Linked DNA regions of Caenorhabditis elegans. The protein of the gene in region 4 interacts with the protein of the main gene of each other region in a pairwise test. Each region holds a gene or a part of one and is shown on either strand. Other genes may lie near its edges. The genes, in order: caap-1, syx-18, Y71F9AL.25 and xbx-6.

What was found.
Region 1: the proteins of xbx-6 (region 4) and caap-1 interact in a two-hybrid assay, tested with the Caenorhabditis elegans proteins (one large-scale study listed by BioGRID).
Region 2: the proteins of xbx-6 (region 4) and syx-18 interact in a two-hybrid assay, tested with the Caenorhabditis elegans proteins (one large-scale study listed by BioGRID).
Region 3: the proteins of xbx-6 (region 4) and Y71F9AL.25 interact in a two-hybrid assay, tested with the Caenorhabditis elegans proteins (one large-scale study listed by BioGRID).

Annotation. Positions count from the first base shown.
Region 1 is NC_003280.10:13,213,806-13,218,568, forward strand, and holds caap-1 (Cactin_mid domain-containing protein), read left to right. Parts: upstream 1-2,286; 5' UTR 2,287-2,290; coding exon 2,291-2,431; intron 2,432-2,486; coding exon 2,487-2,897; 3' UTR 2,898-2,959; downstream 2,960-4,763. Other genes in the region: btf-1 (BTAF (TBP-associated factor) homolog), read left to right, coding at 1,143-1,483, 1,532-1,628.
Region 2 is NC_003283.11:6,652,445-6,658,318, forward strand, and holds syx-18 (t-SNARE coiled-coil homology domain-containing protein), read right to left. Parts: upstream 3,006-5,874; 5' UTR 3,005-3,005; coding exon 2,902-3,004; intron 2,646-2,901; coding exon 2,449-2,645; intron 2,401-2,448; coding exon 2,243-2,400; intron 2,189-2,242; coding exon 2,052-2,188; intron 2,008-2,051; coding exon 1,544-2,007; intron 1,497-1,543; coding exon 1,308-1,496; 3' UTR 1,202-1,307; downstream 1-1,201. Other genes in the region: T10H9.8 (EF-hand domain-containing protein), read left to right, coding at 10-126, 581-722, 1,068-1,201; snb-1 (Synaptobrevin-1), read right to left, coding at 3,565-3,777, 3,911-4,027.
Region 3 is NC_003279.8:2,886,270-2,890,675, reverse strand, and holds Y71F9AL.25 (Clathrin light chain), read right to left. Parts: upstream 1,777-4,406; coding exon 1,321-1,776; downstream 1-1,320. Other genes in the region: Y71F9AL.6 (Protein PBN1), read right to left, coding at 1-230; Y71F9AL.7 (Ovule protein), read right to left, coding at 2,322-2,876; arx-1 (Actin-related protein 3), read left to right, coding at 4,269-4,406.
Region 4 is NC_003283.11:9,702,831-9,709,598, forward strand, and holds xbx-6 (Protein lifeguard 1-like), read left to right. Parts: upstream 1-2,525; 5' UTR 2,526-2,529; coding exon 2,530-2,638; intron 2,639-2,970; coding exon 2,971-3,143; intron 3,144-3,192; coding exon 3,193-3,287; intron 3,288-3,332; coding exon 3,333-3,423; intron 3,424-3,479; coding exon 3,480-3,619; intron 3,620-3,912; coding exon 3,913-4,188; exon of another isoform or gene 4,189-4,257; coding exon 4,258-4,264; 3' UTR 4,265-4,294; exon of another isoform or gene 4,295-4,510; intron 4,511-4,702; coding exon of another isoform or gene 4,703-4,709; 3' UTR 4,710-4,997; downstream 4,998-6,768. Other genes in the region: tag-120 (Transmembrane BAX inhibitor motif-containing protein 4), read right to left, coding at 5,027-5,449, 5,986-6,076, 6,128-6,222, 6,275-6,332.

The DNA.
Region 1 (4,763 bases), on a different chromosome or scaffold from region 4:
ATTTACGAAATAAAATATTATCGGAGAAAAAATTGACAAAAAACAACGCGGTTTCACGGACGGAAAATCTCAATTTTGGAGTCACGTTTTTTCAAAAATTTTTTTTGAAAAATTGAAAAAAACTAGTTACATTTTAGTTATTAAAATTTCAACTTTTAAAATGAAATTTTTCACATAAAATTCAATTCAAAACGGATTTTGCTGAAAATTTTCCAAAGAAAAATTACGAAAAAAGTGATATTTTCAAAAAAAAATCGTTCAGTGTTTCATCAACAAAATATCAACTTTAAAAAATTGAAAAAAAAACTTTAAAACTTGAAAATTTCAAGTTTTTCAAATTTTCTAGATTATAAAAAATGTATTTAATAAAATATCAAATTTTAAAAAATTTAAAAAAAATAGAAAATTCGTTTTTTTCTCAAAAATTTGTTTTTCCAAAAAAAAAAATCTCAAAGCAATTTTTTCTGGAAAAAATTATTTTTTAGATACACAATACTAAAATCAGTTTTTAAACAATTAAAATTTCAAGTTTTTCAAGTTTTCAAAAAAAAGCTTCAAAAAATTTATTTAATAAAATATCAACTTTTAAAAAGTAAAAAAAAAGGAATTTCGCTAAAAATTTGTCAAAAAAAGGTGAAATTTCAAGATAAAATAATTTTTTAAAAATCTCCGAGTCATTTTTTTGCTGGAAAAATGACTTTTAGATTTTTTAAAATTATTTTGTTAGAAAATTTTGCAAATACGAAAAATATTTAGAAAAAACAATCTTTCAAGTTTTTCGAATTTTCTACAATTTTTTTAACAAAAAAAAATACAATTCAAAAAAAGATTCAAAATTCTCCAAAATTCTCGCAGGTTTTCAGAAATTAAATAAACTTAAAAGTTTTTCTTTGCCCAAATTTTTTGTTAAAACGAACAAATGTTTTTTTTTTGTAAATTTCTGACAAATTAAAAAAAAGTGCAAAAATTTCAGTGAAACCCAATTTTTTTTCTTTTCCAATAAAAAATAATAAAATTTAGTCATTAAAAAGACAGATTTTTTGAAATTGAATTTCGTTTTTTTTTCTCGCAAAAAATTAAATTTAAAAACCGAAATATAAAAATTCAAAAAGTTCAGTAAGACCCCGAAAATTTTTGTTCAGGTCGGTGGAGTTGGTCTGAACCTAACCGGAGCGGATACCGTAATCTTCCTGGACCACGACTGGAACCCGATGAAGGATCTTCAAGCCATCGATCGTGCTCATCGTCTCGGCCAAACTCGAAATGTCAACGTATATCGGCTCATCACACAGGGAACAGTCGAGGAGAAGGTGATGAGCCTGGCAAAGTTCAAGCTGAATACGGCCCAGGCTTTGATCGGTGCCGATAATACATCAATGATGACAATGGAGACGGGAGAATTGATGAATATGTTCACGTTGGATGGAGATGAAGCCAAGAAGAAGCCTGGCGGTGGTGAGCCGGCAGCGAAGAAGAGTAAAAAGTTGGTTTTTACCATATATGACTTTTCTTTAAAATACCATAATTTCAGATCCACCGGAGCTCCCGAAGAAGTCGATTTGGCAAGTATGTGGGACGAGAGTCAATATGACGATTTCCAAGTGGACAGCTTCCTCCGAAACACCTAAAAAACATTCATAATCTGTATCATTTTTCTAAATTTCCACACGAGTATCATGTTCGTTTCTGCATATTCTACTCATTTTTGTTTTAGAATTTTCTTGAAATTTCTTTTATCAAATATCATAATTATTATTAGGTATTACCGATTTTTCCACCGTTTTTTCGTTTTTTTATGGGTTCAATTTTTCTCATCTTTCCCTTGTTCCTCTAGTTTTTGAAATCTGCAACATTTTTTTCAGATGCTCTCTCTAGTTGTGAAATAAAATATTAATTGATTAGAAAATGTATTGAGAAGAATTGAATTGGATTCCGTTTTTATTTTCGGTTAATTTTTTAATATCGCCATCATTTTTGTGCAAAAACTATGGTGAACGGTCTCGACGCGACAAATTTTTCTTCAGCTTAAAAATATATGCGCCTTTAACGAGTACTGTCGATTTTTCATAGTTTTTAAAAACAAAAACGTATTTTTAATTAAAATTTTTTGAAAATCGTGAGAAAATCTTTGAAAAATTGAATTAATTCCGCAGCAGCGAAGTTTGAAGTTACAGTACTCTTTAAAGGCGCACACCTTTTTCGTATTTATTTAAACATTATCGCGTCGAGACCGGGTACCGTACTTTTGGCAGACAAAACTATAATTTTCCAAACTATAATTTACAGAAAAATGCCGAACACTGCCGACCAAGTGGATCCACTTCTCGCCTCACTCTCGCATTTCGTAGATCACACGGATTTGCTCGCCGAGCACACGATGAATGCTGTCGAGTGGGAAGCTGTCGAGGTGCTGATGCCACGAATTCTACGGGTACTTTGAGACTTTAGCTGGAAAATTGAATTTTTAAAAAATCAATAATTTTCAGGGAAAATCGAAGGAAGACGTAAAGCAGCTGCTGTTAGCAGAGATTGACGGAATGTCTAAAAAGAGGTTGGATGCAGTGTTGGCTGGAGAGACACTGGAAGAATCGTCGAGCTCTGAGGATGAGGAGGAGCAAGTGATTGGCTCCGCTGGAGAATCGGAAAAATCTGAAAGCCCAGAGATCCCTGAGCCTGAAGCCAAAATGGAGGAGCAGGCTGTAGAAGCTGCAGAAGCTTCTGAAGCTTCAGATGATGGAAGAGAGGACGGTGAAATTAGAGATGATCAGGGAAACACGACGTCAACACCGCCTGATCCAGGATCCCCAAAGTCACCAGAAAAGGGAGAAGCCGAGCAACTGGACACTGATGAGGAGATTGATCGGCTGCTGGAAGAGGATCTTGAAGATTTTCTCTAAATTTTTTTTCTGTATTATCCTGTAACATTTACATCTCTTCTGACGAATACACAATTTCTTATATCTCTCTCTCATCGCCATCATCTATAATTCAATTAGGAGCAGCATATTCATGATGGGACCCGTGGCGCCATTTTTTGGAGCATTTTTCACTAAAGTCTAGGCAATCTCCCTCAAAATGAGTTCGAAACCAAAATTTCAAACTTTTAGTTTTTTTTTTTTAATTTCAAAATATGCATTCATCTATGAATAACAGGAAATGAATGTTCCTGGTATCCAAAGTCACGGGGTTTTTTGTTGCAATTTCTGTTTGAAAACCAGGTTAGTCACGGCGGAAAGTTCAAGTCTAGACTTTGAACTATTTTTGATTGGAACATTTTTGTTTCGAGTTTATTCGGGTTCATGGGGATTAATGAATCGTGTTTGGTAATATGCCAAAAAGTTTTGGCAGATTGCAAAAAAAAATTGGTAATAAGCCACAAAAGTTTTGGCACGGTAGCTGCTCTTGCCAGGACTCAAATTTACATTGGATTTTACGCAGAAAATGTTTTTTCGATGCTTATTTTCAGAAGTTCCTGTTTCCAAATAAATGTGTTTTCGACCCAATTTTCTTTATTTTTATCCGTTATCAATCATAATCAAAAATATGGAACCCAAAATATAGATAAAACGTCGACAGCCTTCTGGAAAACTGAGAAAAAAGTAGTTGTCCCTTCCCATCCATTTAACAATCAATTATTCAAGCGCACGAGAGGTGTGAATAATTAGTTACGTATAGAAGAACTATATAGGGTGACTCAACAAGGTCTCGCATGGAAAACAAATTAAATAGATTGCTCGAGGTGTGTATTGTTTTGCTTAGTTTTCCAGAACCACCATAAACTTAGATACTGTCTTCTTTTTTCGAAATTCTGAGTCACAGCCATGTGTCGATTTACGCAGCTCGTGTACTTTATAAGGAAAAATGTGAAACCTTTTTTTAGATGAAAAATAATAGACTCAGAGAGACCAAGTGATTCTTTATCGGAAACAAATTCCTGTCATAATCCAATACAAAAAGGTATTCCTTATGTATTATTAGATTCTATTGTTCGCCACAAAATGACTAATACCGAATATTCTTATTCCTAATAAGAGAGAGCATGGGCTCTTCTTTATGTTATTCACCCATTTTTATCAAATCTTTCTTCTCGATTTCCCATGGTGATTATATTGACGTTTTGTTTTGACATATATCCTCCTTTTTAGTTTTTTTTCCACTTTTTCCAGCATTATCTGTAAATCCAATCAATTCTCGAAATCTTGAAAAATAGGAAAGCTATGTTTGTTATCTTTTTTGACGATTGACTCTATTAAATTCTTGAAGTTTAAACTCCTAACACTTTGGTAGGAATACTGTCTGGGTACTGCCGGAATCACATTACTACCGTACCACTATAGTAATCACATGATAGTTGTTAGGTGTGACGTGATTGCCCACAAGCTACACATACTACAAACTACACAAATATAACATTTCAAACTATAGTAAATTTGGAAAAAAACACACTCAATTGTCCTTTGAAAATTTTTAAGTTGCAGTTTTGGTCTCCTCGGTCTCCTGGAATTTTTTTCAAAATTTTATTTAAAGTAATAGTGTCGTTTGAAATCAACAAAACCTTGTTGAAGCCAGTGAAACTACGATTTTGTGGAATTTGTTCAAATTTCCAGCCAGATCTTTCACTCCGATAACAAGAACCCCAATGACGTGGCTTATCTCTAAAACAAATCCCTGTTGCACAATAAAAAACTAAAAAACAACTGATTTATCTAAATTGTACAAATCTTTGAATGACTAAAATTTTATTTAGCGCCGTTCTTTGTTGT
Region 2 (5,874 bases), 3.1 Mb from region 4:
CTTTAAATCATGAGGCAATCTATTTTACTTATTCTATTTGGAGTCGCATTTTGCCAGAAAAAGAATCAATGGAATAGTGAAACTGCAGATCAGCGACTAGATGACGTCATAACGAACGAGTTTAAGGTATATTTATAATAATAATAGTTAATAGTTAACAGTGTCTCCAGAATGTACCATGACCTCCAGGAGTTTTGTGAATTTTGCGCCAATCCGGTCTCGGCACGATAAATGTTTGTTAAATGTGAAAAAAGTGTGTGCCTTTAAAACTACTGTAATTTCCAAAATTTGGTGCAGCGGAATTTTTATCAATTTTCATAGTTTTTTCTAACGATTTGTTAAAGTTTATGAGTTTTTATTTTTTTGTTCTCATCGAAAAAGTCTGCAAAAATTGAGCAGCGATACTATTTTGAAATTACATTTAACAAAATTAACAAAAAAACTTCGCGTCGAGACCAGGTACCGTACTTTTAGCGCAAAAATGCCAAACTTTCGCGTCTGTGTAATACACCAAACGGCTTGTACATTTGAAATCACTCTTTGGCTTTTCTAAAATTACTGTATAGCATTTCAAATTCAGGCCAGAGATATGGATCACAATGGCTTGGTGACGACAAAAGAAATACGAGAATATTATGAAAGTCATCCGAATAAAATGAGCAAAGAAGGCATTGAATTTATCGATAGAAACTTTCACAGTGGAGGGGCTGTTGATGTGGATGGTGAGATTTTTAACTTTTTTCGATCAGTTTTGTGTCTTAGCACGAGCGAAAGTTTATGAATGGCATGTGTCTTGAAACAGATACGGTATTTTAATTTGGATTTCATTGAAAAAACAAATTCAACGTTTATAGCGAAATCCTACAGGACACGAAACGAATTTAGTGAAAATTCATAAGAACTAAATTTAACGTACCGTATCCCTTTTAAGACTGCTTCAACACCCATAATGTTGAAAAACCATAGTGATAAATTATATATTTCTAGAAAATGGGCAATCTTAAATTTAAAATTTAAAAAAAACTCAATTGTACAACTAAACATCAAAATTTTTTTTCAATTTCCAGGATACCGCAAGCTGATAAAGAACTGGTTAACTGAAAAAGGAAGTGTCGAGAAAATTCTCGTGGGTGTTTTCGGTAATAAAACAAAACCTGCTTCAACAAATAACGTTGGACGTGCGACAACAGTGTCTACATGAATGCACTAAATTTATTGACTTTCTTTGATTATGAAACAAGACCAGACTGAACATGTTGTAGACCACAGAATAAATGTAATAAATACGAATTATCTCCAAAAAATTATTAGGGGTTATACCAGTCAATGAAGAGAAGTGCGAACGAAAGTACAACAATTGAAAATAGAAGGAATGCTCGCTGTTTTCCAGAGTTTGTGATAGCTTTTCGAATCCATTCATTTCCGTCGGTAATGTTTTCGGTTGTATGTAAAGCATGATCGTGTATTAATTCAACATCACGGTCTTGTTCCAAAACCTGAAATAAATTGGTTTTGAAAATTTTGAAAATAAATTTGCGAATACCTTTTCTGAAAACACCGTGTGTAAAGATGCGATCTCCGTTAAATGCTGCTGAAGCTTGAGAATCTCGTCATCCTGATCCTCCTTTACAAACTCTTTCTTTCGAAGCTCAGCTTGTTGTTGGAATTCCACGGCAAACTGCTCTCCTTGCTCATCTCGCCACTTCTCATAACTTTCACGTTCCGCATCGTATCCACCACCAACATCACGACGCCTATTGCGAACTTCTTCTTTAAAAATAATCGGAGACGCACGATTTTGTACTGGTTTGTCTTGTGGAACAATCAGAACATCAAGTTCGTCAATCCCATCCCAACCAGCGTCTTCTCCATCTAGCAGATCTTCTTTTTGAATTTTTACATTTGATTTTTCTTCAACTAAATAATAATCGCTGTTCACTTCTTCCGGAATGTACTGCATACATGGGTGCTTTGCTTGAATCTCTCGAAGTTTGTGAGTAAGCTTGTCTGAAATTTTTAAAATTTATATTTACAAGAAAAACAATTTTCACCACTAAATTCAAGCTCTGAGCCATGAACAAGTTCTTCAAGACCACGGTGATATTTGTAAACGTGACCAGCCTCTTGTGCTATTTTCATTAGATTCTGTGACTTGCTCTTCGCGTGGAGTCGCTGTAGATGCTCCTTTCTAAAAATTAAGATATTTACTTATTTTCAGAGGGAAATTTGAAATTTTGCATACTTTAAAAGTGAAACCATTGCGATAATTTGTTTCAAATAAACAGTCAATCCTTCCTGAACACGTGAAAGGTGACTTCTTTCAGTCGCATTTCGAAGCCCATCACTGCTATTCACACGATGTCCGAGCTGCACGTTGATTGAATGGAACTGAGTAAGTTTCTGAATATCGAATGTAAAATGATAGATATCTTAAAAATTCAGGCGAACATCTTTCACATCTTCATCAAAGCTCTCTCGTTCCATCGGGCTCATTTTAGAATAGGCACGACTGGCGAAAATGTAGTCCTGTGAGTGATCTGCGAGCATTTTACGGAAGAGATACATTTCAGCGCCAAACGAAAGAGCCACGTTCGAAATGTTGGTGAATGCTGGAGATGGACGATTTTCATCACGACGGTAGTCTCCTGAAATTTGAAATTATTCATTTTTGGAATGTTTTTAGAACTATAAAAATTAGAATTAAATCATCAAAATAATTTCGCTTCAAAGTTTTATGGCAAAAACGAGTTTATCTGAAAAGTTTGTTAAAGGATATTCCATAAAAAATCTTAAATGGTATTTTTGCAGAATTTTTTTTCTGATTTGTTGATGTGTCAAAAAACTTGAAGTATCCGATATTTAACGTTTTTTATTAAATATTCTATCCAAATTCTTCCTCACCCGGTGGCTTATTGTGCCGTCTAATGTGCTTTTGCTCGATTGATGTGGCAAGTTCTTTGAACTGTTGTGATCGATCGATAAATGGAGGTTGAAATATCGTCATTCTGAAAAGACCAGGCCCACTAAATTTAAACAACAATTGTTTTTTTTTCAAGTATCTAAATCTGAATATCTACACAACAATCATTCAATCCATTCAAAAATTTTGACAGTTTTGAGTTTTCAACACCATTTTATTCGCATCTAATGGGTAAATTTCCGGGGGGAATGAGAAGGCATGTTGTTAGTCTGAGAATAGGAAAATTCTAGAAAAACATACACACACGAGCTCGACGGAATCCGCGGATAAGCTCATGTGGATGTGGGATCACGCAGCTTATCGCGCCGCCTAAATAAATTAATTTCAGAAATGGATGATTTGCGATCAACCAGAAAAAGAATATTAAGAAAATTGACAGATTGGATGGGGATGTGGGGGGAAACGTATAATTCAACTATAGTACAATGAAGAGAAGAAGTTCAAAATAAGAATAGAATACTCAGCTTCTATGTTTTAGAAAATGAAAACAGATGAAAATGGGCAAAATGTGAAGGGAAGAAGTTTGGGGGAAAGAAATTACAGCGTTTCGGGGGATTTTTTTATCCGGGACAAAGGTCGTGTACTTATTTTCCTCCAGCCCATAAAACGATGATGATAATAAGAATGACGACGATAGCGCACATGATGATCATCATTTTGATGTTCTTCCACCAATACTTGCGCTTCAGGGTGGCCGCAGATTTCTCAAATTGTGAAGCACCTTCCTGGAGAGCGTCAGCTCGGTCGTCCAGTTGAGACAACTTCTGATCACGCTCCAAAACTTTTTCCACGTTCACCTGAAAACTATTTTTCGTGATTTTATTGCAAAAAGGGGAATTAAGATTAATTTAACACGCTTATAAATTGTAAATGGGATCATTTCAAAAATTGCGATTTTTGTTATTTTAATTGCACATTTCAAAATCTTACCTTCATGATTCCGACGACTTCATCAACCTGAGCTTGTGTCTGCTGGAGACGTTTGTTGGATGGTCGTGGTCCGCCCTGACTTCCTCCCTGTGCGCCGGCATCTCCTTGAGCGTCCATGTCGTCAAGATGGTCTTATCCGGCTGTTCCCTGAAATGAAGCGAGTTAGAAAAATTTAAAAATTCGTATCGGAATTCAGAACTGGAAAGTGAGGTAAAGGAAGAAAACGACAGGGGGGACGGCGACGCCCATTTATGCATGAAAAATTGAGCACGACAAGCGACACGATGACGGACTAAAGTGCCCTCTCAAAAACGAGAACGACTAGAAAATTTAGCTATTTTTGTATAACGGGATTACGAATATTTAACGAAATTATAAAATCGCGATGTTCTGAAATTAGGAAAATAGTAAGGAACGATGAGAACAGGGAAAAGGATGAAAAAATAAGAAATGGGGTCAGATGACGAAGCGATGAATGGAAATTCAATGAGAGATGTTGCGAAATCTGTGCAAACACCGATAAAACATTTTGCGTACTGGGCATTATGACCTACGCGCATCTCTATTTCGGGATAATCGATAATCGGTCATGACCGTCATCCATTCACTTTCAATCATCGATTAATAAATAAATTGAAATGATAAATAGAAAAAAAATGACGGGACGGTTTTCAAAAAACTGGTTTTCACTGCTGTTGTATGATTACGTTTTTACCAAGAGGCAGTCAAAAAATAAAAAAAAAAGCGAGTGGAGGTTATAACTTGTATTAAATAGAAGACAACACATACAGTGGGACGCATTCCAGACAAATAACGAAGCCACTTTTTATTGCTTTGCAGCCAGAATTGTGGGAGGCGAAACTAATAATGGGAGACGAAGAATAAGGCGAAGAAAGGAGAATGTCCCATGCACACGCTCCAGTTCTCTTTCGTTTTTTTTTCTTATTTTCTCTAGCCGCATGATTTTGCTCGATTTCACACAAATGGAGCTAAATTCTTTTGCAGACAAAACGAAACGAGAGAACTGAATACAAGGAAGTTTTCAGCAGGTTACGTGCAACGGGTGGACTACGAATTTGAAGCCCGAGGCATATCTTCGAGAGATGAGAGGAAGTTTCAAAATGAATAAAAATTCAACTTGAATTTTCCTAGAAAGGGAGAAAAAATGAAATACTTGAACACACGTCATGGTTGCTGAGATACCCGAACTGAACAATAAATTTGTCAAAAAAATGTGGCAGCGATTCATCATTCTGTGTTGTTGGAGAATGCAAGAATAACTATGGGCAACAATGTCGGAAAAACCAAGATAAAGTTACGAAATTCAGAAAAAAAAACAATATTAAAAAAGTGCTGACTCAGTCCATCATATCAGCTGACAACAAAAAAGACACAGACAGAAAACAGAACAGGGAAGATTGGGGGATGGCTAGATAGGAAATTGAATGTCTGTTGTATTGTGTACAGACAAAAACACAATTAGGGAGGTAGTATTTACCGAGAATAGTTTTGAAAAAAATAAGTAAACGAAGCGATTATACTAAACTCAAACACAGGAATACAGGTTTATTGGGATTAGGGCTGTACAACCGGACGTCCGGTCGTCCGAACCGGACGCACATGCGTCCGGTTGGGGGTAGCTATCCACGACGGCCGACAATTTCCGAGTTTCGCGACTCACTATAAAATTGCTGATTAAGTATAGTGAGTGGCGAAACTCGGAAATTGTCGGCCGCCGTGGAAACCTACCCCAAAACCGGACGCAGTGCGTCCGGTGGTGTCAAAATCAGACGGCCGGACGCTGATTTGTACAGCCCTAATTGGGATAATTGCGCGTAGAACCTAACGGATTCTACATATAGTTGATTTGGTATCTTACAATCGAGAGTAATTCCGAAAAATTTTCAAAAACTAATTTGAACAAAATTCAAAAACGTTATAGTGTTTCATGTTTGCGTATCGCT
Region 3 (4,406 bases), on a different chromosome or scaffold from region 4:
ATGTATAACGTATTTATTATATGAATATGGTAGATTTGGTATATATGATGTATATGATATATGGGAGATTTGGTATATGTGTATATATGGTATATATAATATATATGATATATCTGGTGTATGGTATAAATGGTATATGGTATATATATATGATATATATAATATATGGTAGATTTGATATATATGATATCTACGGTCGATAATGATCGATAATGTTGCCTGTGTGCCATCTGTCGTCTCTGCTAGCAATTGCGTAACCCGCAAGAAAAACGCCAAAAATAATGTATAACGTATTTATAATAGGAATATTTGCTATATGGTATATATGATGTATATGATATATATGGTATAAATGGTATATGGTATATATGATATATGGTATACATGGTCTATGGTAGATACGGTATATATGATATAAATTGTATATATGATATATATATGGGATATGGTATACATGTTATATACAGTGCATTTTTTTCCACTTCTACGACTTCAAAGGGAAGCGCTTTCATGCGGTATGGTCTTGACGCGTCTTTAGTCATCATTTTTAGCAGTTTCTGTGTAAATTTCGTATAGATCACAAAATATTTATATCTTATTTTGTATTTCTGTAGCTTTTTTACTCTGATCTACAAATTAATTTTGATCTACGTGTGATCTATACGAATTTTACACAGAATCTGCTAAAAATGATGACTAAAACCGCGTCGAGATCAGGGGTGTGCGGCGAATTTGCCGAGCACGGCAAATTTCAAAAAAATAGATTTGCCGCACACCCCTGGTCGAGACCATTTCGCATAAAAGCGCCTCCCTTTAAAGTCGTAGAAGTGGAAAAAAATGCACTGTATGATAGATATGGTACATAGTATATATGATATATGTGGGAGGATATGGTACATGTGGTATATGGTATGTATGATATATATGAATATATGGTAGATTTGGTATATATGGTATATATGGTATATGGTATTTATGATAGATATGGTATATGGTATATGGCATATATATATATTTATATAACGGGACCATGAGATCATCAGAATGCTTACTTTTCTGGCGGCAAATTTCTCGAAGCGAAGGGACCTGCGTCTCTCTTCGCCATATGCTCTCTCGCTGCCGCGGCCTGCCAATATTTTTGCGCCAGTAAATAGGCATTCTCATGATCTCATGGTCCCGTAATATATGTATATATATATATATATATATATATATTAAATACATATGAATATGGAATATGCCAAAAAATAATATATTTATTAATTTATATAAATATATGATTAAAAGCCAAGTTTTATTCAAATCACTTCAGCTGAAGCTTCAGTTATTCCGATTTTTGTCGAAGCAAACACAAACTCGCGCATCATACAAACGATAGTATCTACAAATGAGTGGAAAAAGAATGATGAAGGATAGGAAGAAAAATGATGGCCAGAGAATATACACTTCAAAAAACCTAACGCTGGATCCCATATTTTCATCGGAATTTCTCCGGGTCCTCCTAAGAAATTGCTTGTCTCTCCTGACCTTCTCCGCTATTTCATTCCAATCGTCGGTCCAAAATGAGCCTTCACGATTTGGATCCAACTCTTTATTCGCACGAAAAACTCCTCTCGCCCTTTCAATGTAATCCACTGCGGCTTCCATCTCGAGATATCTTTGTAGTTGAACATTGTCGTCTGTGAATTCGCCGTCCAAGTCGTCGAATCGAGATCTTGGGTCTTCGGAGATGTCAGTTGGCGGAGAGCAAGAATCGGTGTAGAGCGGCTTGCCCATTGTGGCGTCGGCTAGCTGAATGAGGGAAGAGGGCATGGTGTACACGAAGACGTCGATCGATTGTGTTATTGGTGCCACGCCTATAGAACCGTGCCGCAAAATTGCAGATTTTGAACCATCCGCAGGGTTTCAAAAAGCGAGGGAATAAGGAACATGGTGCATCGACTGGGATCGACGGTTGTCTTCGATTTTACAGAGATGTTGTCAAATGACAAAAAGTGTGTTACGTGTTCTTCTACAATTTTGTAGTTGACAATTCACTCGTATCTGCAAAATTCGTGTCGAGACCCATAGTGGTGCGTAACAATGTTATCGATATTACTACGTATTTTTGTGGTTTGGAGCTAAATAATTGCATTTTCGCAACCCTTTCGCCAATTTTTTTCGTGAAAAAACGTGTAATTTTACGAAAAATTGCGCGCATGGGTTGCGAAAACGCATTAACCGCACGGTTTTCGGTGGCACAGAACACAGTAAAACCCATTTATTGATTGAAAATTTTATTCAGTCATATCAATGCAATCAGAAAGCTCTTGAAAAGCGTCCTATCGCATCGGGAAGCACATTACACACAATATCGGTACTATTCGAACGATGATCGTACACAAATGCGGTAATATCAAGAGGAAAAATGTCAGTAAAAGGTGGCATATAATAATGAAATTGATGAATGTGCTCTCATCTTTGAATCTCGGAATAACGGGAAACCACCATACTTCCTTATCGTCGATATTACTGTCCGTGTCCTCTTCGTCGTCGCCATCATCCTCGTCGCCATCCTCATCGTCCCAATTCAAATGTCTATCAGGATTCCTTCGGTGTCTTCTCAAGAATCGCTCGTCTCTTTTGAGAACGACAGCTATTTCATTCCATTCTTCCGTCCAAAATGTGCTCGTACCAGTTGGATCCACTTCCAGATTCGCCTGATAAACGCCCATCGCATTCTCAATAGTCTCCTCGGCGGCTTGCATCTCCAAATAGTCTTCCACCTGAACATTGTCTGCATTGAAATCATCGTCGAATTGGAATAGAGATCTCGGGTCCTCGAAGATCTCAGTTGGTGCGGCGGAGCAAGAATCGATGTAGAGTGACTTGACCATTGTAGAACACCTGAATGAGGTGACTGGTGGTGTGCAATGTGCTCACGCGAATATGTGCATCGATTGCTATATTATGACGTCATAGAAGGAGACAATGAGCTCTCATTAAAACCATTTATTGATTGATTAATAATATTAATAATATACAACGATAAATCATAAAACAAATATTTAAATCTAACAATTCTCCTTCCGTCGCTGCTCATCCAACTCCTTCTCAGCTTCAATCACCTCCTGTTGGATCCTCGCTCGCTCCTTCATCTCGGTCACAAATTGCCACAGTTGAGATTCTAAAGCCACATTTTGAACTGATAGATCGGCATCCTTCTCGCTATCAGTGAAATGGTTACTAGAACTCGAATCCTCGTTAGATTGGCACATGTTTCTGTGTATTTAGACACAATGACGTCATGTCGGAGAGATTGGTTTTGTCTTGAGAGACGCAGAGATTGGCAATTAGGTCATGATGGTTGGTGTGTGACGTAATTGGTGGAGTTGGGAAGCTGGGGAAATTGAGATTTTTAGAATCTGAGGTTTAGGCGGCCTATGCCTGCATGAATGCTCCGGTAATACGCCGATTTGCCGGAAATTTTCAATTCCGGCAATTTGCCGATTTGTCGAATATTTTCAATTCCGGCAGTTTCACGATTTGCCGGAAATTTTCAGTTCCGGCAATTTGCCGATTTGCCGGAAATGTTCAATTCTGGTAATTTGTCGATTTGCCGGAAATTTTCATTTTCGGCAAATTGCCGATTTGCCAGAAGTTTTCAAATTCCGTCAATTTGCCGATTTGCCGGAAATTTTCAATTCCGGAAGTATTCCGATTCGCAGAAAATTTTGATTTTCGGCAAATTGCCGATTTGCAGGAAATTCTCAATTCCTGCAATTTTGCGATTTGCCGGAAATTTTTAATTCCGACATTTTGCCGATTTGCCGGAAATGTTTAATTCCGACATTTTTGCCGATTTGCGGAAATTTCAATTCCGACATTTTGCCAATTTGCCGGAAATTTCAATTCCGGCAATTTGCCGATGTACCGGAAATTTCAATTCCGGCAGTTTGTCGATTTGCAGGAAACTTTGGTGTTCGTCAAATCGGAATTTGCCGGAATTTTTTAAGCTTCGGCAAATCGGTAAATCGCCGGAAATTTTCAATCCCGGCGATTTGCCGACTTGCCAGAATTTTTCAATTCAGGCAGATTGCCGATTTGCCGGAAATTATCAATTCCAGCAATTTGCCGATTTGCTGGAAATGTCCAACTCCGGCAGTTTGTCGATTTGCCGGAACAAATGGCCATTTTGTAGAATTGCCGAAAATAATTATGCTTTGAGTTTTAGAAAAATTGACAAATTCGAGACTCCTGAGACTTCTAGCAATTTTCAAAATTTGCAGGTGATCGATTCTGGAGACGGAGTAACCCATTGTATTCCAGTTGCCGATGGCTATGTAATCGGTTCCTGTATCAAACACATTCCAATTGCCGGCCGTGACATCACCTATTTCATTCAAAGTCTGCTCCGTGATCGTGAG
Region 4 (6,768 bases):
TTGAAACTCTCCATGATCTTAACAGAATTTTCTCGTATGACTAAGTAGAACAGAATAAAACAGAAATCTCACAAGTTATAGGGCACCTTCACTTACTGAAAAGCTGAAAAAAAAAGCGAAAAGAACTGTTCATGTTTGCCTGACGAATGACTATTAACAAATAAGCTTTTTTTCTCTTCTTCTTTCGACTCTCTTGCTCACATTTATCTTTGTTTAAATTTCAGGGCATTTGTCGTAATTCCACGAAATTTCAGATTTCAGCTGAAAAAAGTATTAGTGCTCCAGCAGGTGAATAAATTTATAAGAAACATGTTTATATTATTTTATTTTCAGAACAGAGCAATGAACAGTTTCATCCTAATCAGGCCGAAGGCCCACTGTTACAGAATAATGGTAAGTTTGGAATTAAAAACGCAAACAGTTTCTTTGTGAATATTAAACTTAGCCTATTATTAGTTACGATAGAAGTCACAACATACAGTAACCAATCCTGTTTTTTCTCCTTTATCTTCCTAGATTACGTAAATATGAAATAGATTAGATTTAAAAAACTTCCAATTTGTTCGATGAAACGGTCCATAATCGTTTATAAATATTTTAAAAATCGAACCGAACGGCACACGCGTGTTGTTATTTTTATATATATAACCTAAAAAATAGAACTTTGTAATATTTTTACGTGTTCTTTTTCAAACTTTATCTGAACTGAAATGAAAGTTTATTTCAATTTCAGCGAAATGTATTGGAACGGGAATTCCAACAAATATCGTTTTTATATCAAGCTTGATAATGGTAGGGGATTTCAAAAGCTTTTTTATTTCCGAAAACGAAAAAACAAACTACTTTTAATATATTTGAACCAGTTTCAAGCCTACTGTACGGCTTTCAAGGGAGACGCACGATAGCGCGCGATTGGGTGTCGCCCCGCGAACTATTTTTTGACGCATGCGCCTTTAAGTGTACTGTAGAAATTCTGCGATGAATTTTCACGCTTTTTTCGATTTCTCTCTTCATTTCCCTTCTATTGTCTTCCGTAGGGAATCAAAATCATACAAAGTTTTTAAAAAATTAATAAAATTTTGGATTTTGTAATCTGTTTTATCGTCTGGAATTTTTTTAAGCTTAGAAAAACTTAGTAAATTATGTAAAAGTTTCGAGATTGTTAGCATTTAACTTATTGATCATCTCACTATTGTTGATGAAATTTTTTGTTCAAACTTTTGATGTTTTCACTTTCTCCTCATCTCTTCCGTTTTTCTACAGAGATTTCTTGATCTCTCAACGGTGACTCAACATTTTTCATTCTATACAACTGTTCCCTCACTTTAAAAATTTCTATATCTCTATGATATAGTTTTTCTTTCGATTCATGTTCCAGTGTTAGATGTGAAACACTGCTTTTAAGCTTCACTGCTTTTTCAAAAGAGTAGTGGTCTTCGAGCATCAACACATGCGTTTCTCTTGTTTCTCTCCTTTGGCCGAGGTCGTTGTATTTTTTGTTTGACCTGGCGAGTAAAAGAGAGACAACGTTTCATTGCTTTCTCTGTTCCTGTTTTTCATAGATTATCACGTCGTTCTTGTTCCGACAATACAAAAAAGTCACCGTTCAAACTAAAACCTACATTTTTGAATAGATGCTCTATATTGAGAACTACTTAAAACTCTTGTTTTCTGGTCGACATCGATTTTTTTTTGACGAGGCAAACCCCGACCATTGCAAACAATAGAGACGCAGATATCCAAAGCCTTGGTCAGTTTACTGCGTCTCTTCTCTCAACGAGATCTCATCACAATTGCCCGATGCTGCATTCTCGTGAAAGTGAAGAAGACGTGCCATTCTGTTGCGAAATCACACGTCTTCTTCTTCCACTGCATTTTGGTTTTTCTACTTATTTGAAGTCTAGGCATGAATGAGAAAGATAATACCCGTCTCAGTTTTCGAACGAAGAACGTTGAGCGTATTTACTTTCCTATCGACAAATATGAGTACATTCGTTCTTTCTGCTCGAACGCTAAAAATTCGTGCTCTAGCAACACCAGAAAGTACCGGAGTTTGAGTTATTTGTAACTGCATCTGAAAATCTTTCTATAATATTTTGTCTTCTTAAAAATCCGAGCACCAGTATAAAACACACAATTTTAATACTAAATCTGTAGAAGCTCATCTTTTTAAACTAAAATATGACAAATTCTTCATTCCTGAAAACAATCAAATTATTTTCATCTTCTCAACCATTCTAATCCTTCAATCTAGATATGACTTTCCCTCTAAGCCTTAAAATAATCTTATTTCTTCCTATAACTGACGCACATTTCTCTAGCTACTAGAATTTGTCTGAAAACAGACGAGAAATTCCCCTCGTGAGCTGGAGAACCATGTTTCCATGGAAACTCGAGTAATGTGATAAACAACTGGGACTTTTTAAATTGCCATTTCCATGAAATTCTATACTTTTTTGCTTCTATCTCACTTGTTGACTACATTTTATTCTTGTATTTTCGTTTCAATAATATTATTTAATTCCAGATATGTCGTACAATCAACAGCCATACAACCCGGCTTATCAGAATCCCTACCCCAATCAAGGCCCTCCGCCACCAGGATTCAATACAGGCGACGGACAAAATCAAAATCAAGGTGAGAGATTTTTTAAAAACAAAATAAAAAAGTCAGCGATATCAGAAGTTAGACATAAATTAAGAATATTTTAACTTCCAAAATAAATAAGTAAAGAAGATATCGAAACTTTTAGCAACTAGCTCTTCGATCAATAAATTTGATCATTTTTTAATTGTATTTTTGTAATGTGACGTCATTAATCGAAATACCAAAGGAAACCCGAAAAAAAATCGACAAAATTTGTTAATGCGCAAGGTGGATTTTTTTCAAAAATTTTACATTGAAACGTATTAAATTATATTTTCACAACTAACTGTTTTAAAACGATTCAAAACCTCAATATTCTTAAGGTGGAGCCTATTTCTCACCACCGCCACCAATGCACGGAGCTATGTTCAATCAGATGGAAAATGGGCAACACGGTGGTGGAGACAATCCAGATGGAAAGTATTCATTCCAATTTTCTGATAAGACTGTCCGCGCTGCTTTCGTTCGAAAAGTTTTCAGTTTGGTCTTTATCATGGTAAGTAGTACTTTCAAAAAGTTTTAAATCTATTTTCAAAAAATTTTAGCTTTGCATCGTTGCCGCAGTCACTGTTATCCCGTGGGTTCATGATGATACGATGAGAATGGTCCGCAGAAATTCGGCTCTCTACCTTGGGTCCTAGTATGTACATAAATTGAAATCTTGATTAATATTTAATATTTCCAGTGTAATCTTCTTCGTTACCTACTTGTCATTGGTTTGCTGTGAAGGAGTTCGTCGTAAATTCCCAGTTAATTTGATTGTCACTGGAATCTTCGTAAGTTCATTTTAATATAACAAGTTTCCCTTTATCAATCCAAAAATCGTTTTCAGACTCTAGCAACTTCAGTTATGACCATGGTCATTTCAGCTCATCATGATGCTAACGTGGTTCTTCTGGCATTGGCGATCTGCATTGGATGTACGTTCTCCATTGTCATTGTCGCCTCTCAGACGAAATTCGATTTGACTGCGTAAGTTTTTTTTTAAATCAAATCTTTTTTTCAAATGCTGTGCTAAACCTGCAATAAGCGGATTTATACTCTAACAAGCACCAATTTTCTGAAATTTAAGGTACCTAGGTTATTTAGTCGAATTTGAAACTAATTTTTAATATATTAAATATGTTCTGACAAGATGTACGCAGATTAATTTTTGTAAATAGCAAAATTGGCAAAAACTAAACTTAGTTCAGAAATTAGAATGATGACGAATAATTTATAACCACTGATCTTCAAAAAATATATCCGAAATACTAAATTTTCAGCCACATGGGATATATCTTAATCATCTCAATGTGCTTCATGTTCTTCGGACTTGTTGTCGTGATCTGCTCAATGTTCTTCAAGATCAAGTTCTTGATGATGGTATATGCTCTCGGTGGTGCTCTTATCATGATGCTCTACCTCTTCCTCGACGTTCAAATGCTGATGGGAGGAAAGAAATACGAAATCTCACCAGAAGAATATATTTTTGCTTCTGTTCAAATCTTCATTGACATTGTCCAGATGTTCTGGTTCCTTCTCAGTTTGTTCGGATCCAGGTAAGAAATTCATTGGGAAACTTTGAAATTTAGCTAGACATTCTCAATAAACCCTCTGGTTATTTCCAGAAACTGAATCTTCTATTTCTCTATCACATTTCGTGTGGTAAGGCGGTTGAGTTTGTGGTATTTCAAAAGGCACGTTTACTTTTTAGATTTTTTTGTGTCATTGTTCACTAACGCTGTATTAGTAACATTGTGCCAATTTAAATGAATGTGTATTATCGAAAAAATACGATCGCACAAATTTCTCATAATTTTTTTTTGATCTACGCTGTTGACTAGGCTCCTCCCCCAATCTTGTTGCCGCTGTTATTTTGTTGTGGCTGTCTTGTCGAAGGAAGGGGAGGAGCCTAGTCAACAGGGTAGATCAAAAATAAATTATGAGAAATTTGTGCGATCGTATTTTTTCGATAATATGTGAATCATTTGGTTGATAAAAGCAACAATTTTCAGTTTCTATGTTGTGAAAAGCTTTTTATCAACTTGTAAACCTAATTATTGTATTTTTCAGCGACTAAACAACGGCCTTCACCCGACTTCATCGATTCTCGATTCTTCAATTCCTTCTTCTTTTTCTGTTCTATACTAGATTCCATGCCTAATTTACACACTGGTAGTTCACTTTGTTCTTCTTTGCCTGTCCCCTGCTCTGTCCCTCACCCCGAAAAATTTCTAACAAAAAGAAACGAAAACTGCTGTTGTTTAAGATGTCTCGTTCGCTACTTTCCCGCTTAAACTCGTAATTATTTGTGAAATGAAACTTAATATATATTTTTGAATGAAATAAAACATGTATTTACAGCAAACAATAAAACATATAAAAATGTGAAAAGATCTAACGACCTCTTCCAAAGATGTTGAGAAGCATCAGGAAGATATTCAGAATGTCCAAAAAGATTTCCATCGCAGCAAAAATGTAATCTTCTGGTGATAATTCATATTTACGACCACCCATCAGAAGTTGTACATCAATAGCCAAATAGAACATCATTAAAAGAGCAGCAAGTCCAGAATAAACGGAATAAAGGAATTGCCAATTGAATGCCAAAGTGAAGATGAGTGCAAAGATTCCAAATGAGAAAAGAACCATTGAAAGCATGAAAGCGATTCCCATTTTGCTCGTCAAATCTGATTTCGTTTTCATCGAGAAAATAATGACTGATCCACTGCATACTGTGGTGATACATAGACAAATTAAAACTGATTGAACATTATAACAAGCAGTAACAAACATTGTCATGACTGCTGCCGAGAGAGTCTGAAATATACAATAATTTTAGATTTCCTTTTACGAAAATTAACACATGTTTCCAGCAATCCTACCGTAGCCTACCCTATCTCAAAGCACATTAAGAATTCTGAAATATCCAGAAAGAAATTGAAGTTATCTTGTCAAGAATGTTCATGGTTATACATATATTTTAAAGAAAAAAAACTATTGTCCACGAGGTGTCAGAGTGTCCCATGTCGGTTTGATCTACGTAGATCTACAAGAATTGCGGGAATTTAAACGCAGACTTCTCAACTGATTTCGCATCATTAAGAGCGTGCTGACGTCACATTTTTGGGAAACAATTCCCGCATTTTTGTAGATCAAGCCGTTATGGGACAGCCTGACACCACGTGATTTTAGTGGTTAAAATTAGGAAAATAGAATTTAAAGCGGCCCGGGACTCTCTAAAATAATGATTGCGTTTTTGGAATGTGATAGAACCTTACAATACGTTTTGTAACGTTTTTATTTTCTTCCTACTAAAAACCACTTTTTAAAAACCTTTTTACTTAAAAACTTACGAAAATAGTGAGAAGAATGATATTGACTGGAAATTGCCTTCTCAAATTACCACAGCAAGACAACGCAATTGCAACAACCAAAAATACAATTCTGAAATTTATATTATCATTCGAAGATAATCAAAACTCTATTGTAACTCACATCGCAATGAAATATACCCAAAAGTTGTTCTTAACCCAATCCTGAAACGGTTCTGATACCATAGGAATTACACAGAACGCTGCTGTGATGGCAAACTGAAAATGTGAAAAGTACAGGTTTGTTGAAAGTCATTTTGGATAAACTAACCATAATTGTGACAAGCATAAACACTTTTCTGACGAAGGCCGCCCGGACTGTTTGACTTCTGAAAATCAAAAAGTTTAAGATCTCCAAGTTTATTCAAAATTTTGTAACGTATGTGTTCGTTAATGTCTTTGTTTTTGGGAAAAAGAGAGGCACAGTCTTCCAAGGTATGTAGGCACGCCTAACATATACCTATATACTTAGAAGATAACCAAAAGTTTGCTTAAACACGTGAAAACTCGGAATTTAGGAGAAACTTTCTGGAAAAAAACATTAAAAGCTGCTGATTGCCAGCAAGTTTAAAAAAAAAATTGCCAATTTTTAACAGGAAGTTGCCCCTAAATTACTCTAATCAAATTATTTGATTTTTTAAATGTTTAACTAGGAAATTAGATGTTTTTCGTGTACATTGGCAGGTAGGTACGCATATAGGTACATAGTAGGAATAGGTCGCCTATAAAGCGATCATGCCTGTTTGTGCTTGTTTTTTCAGAAGC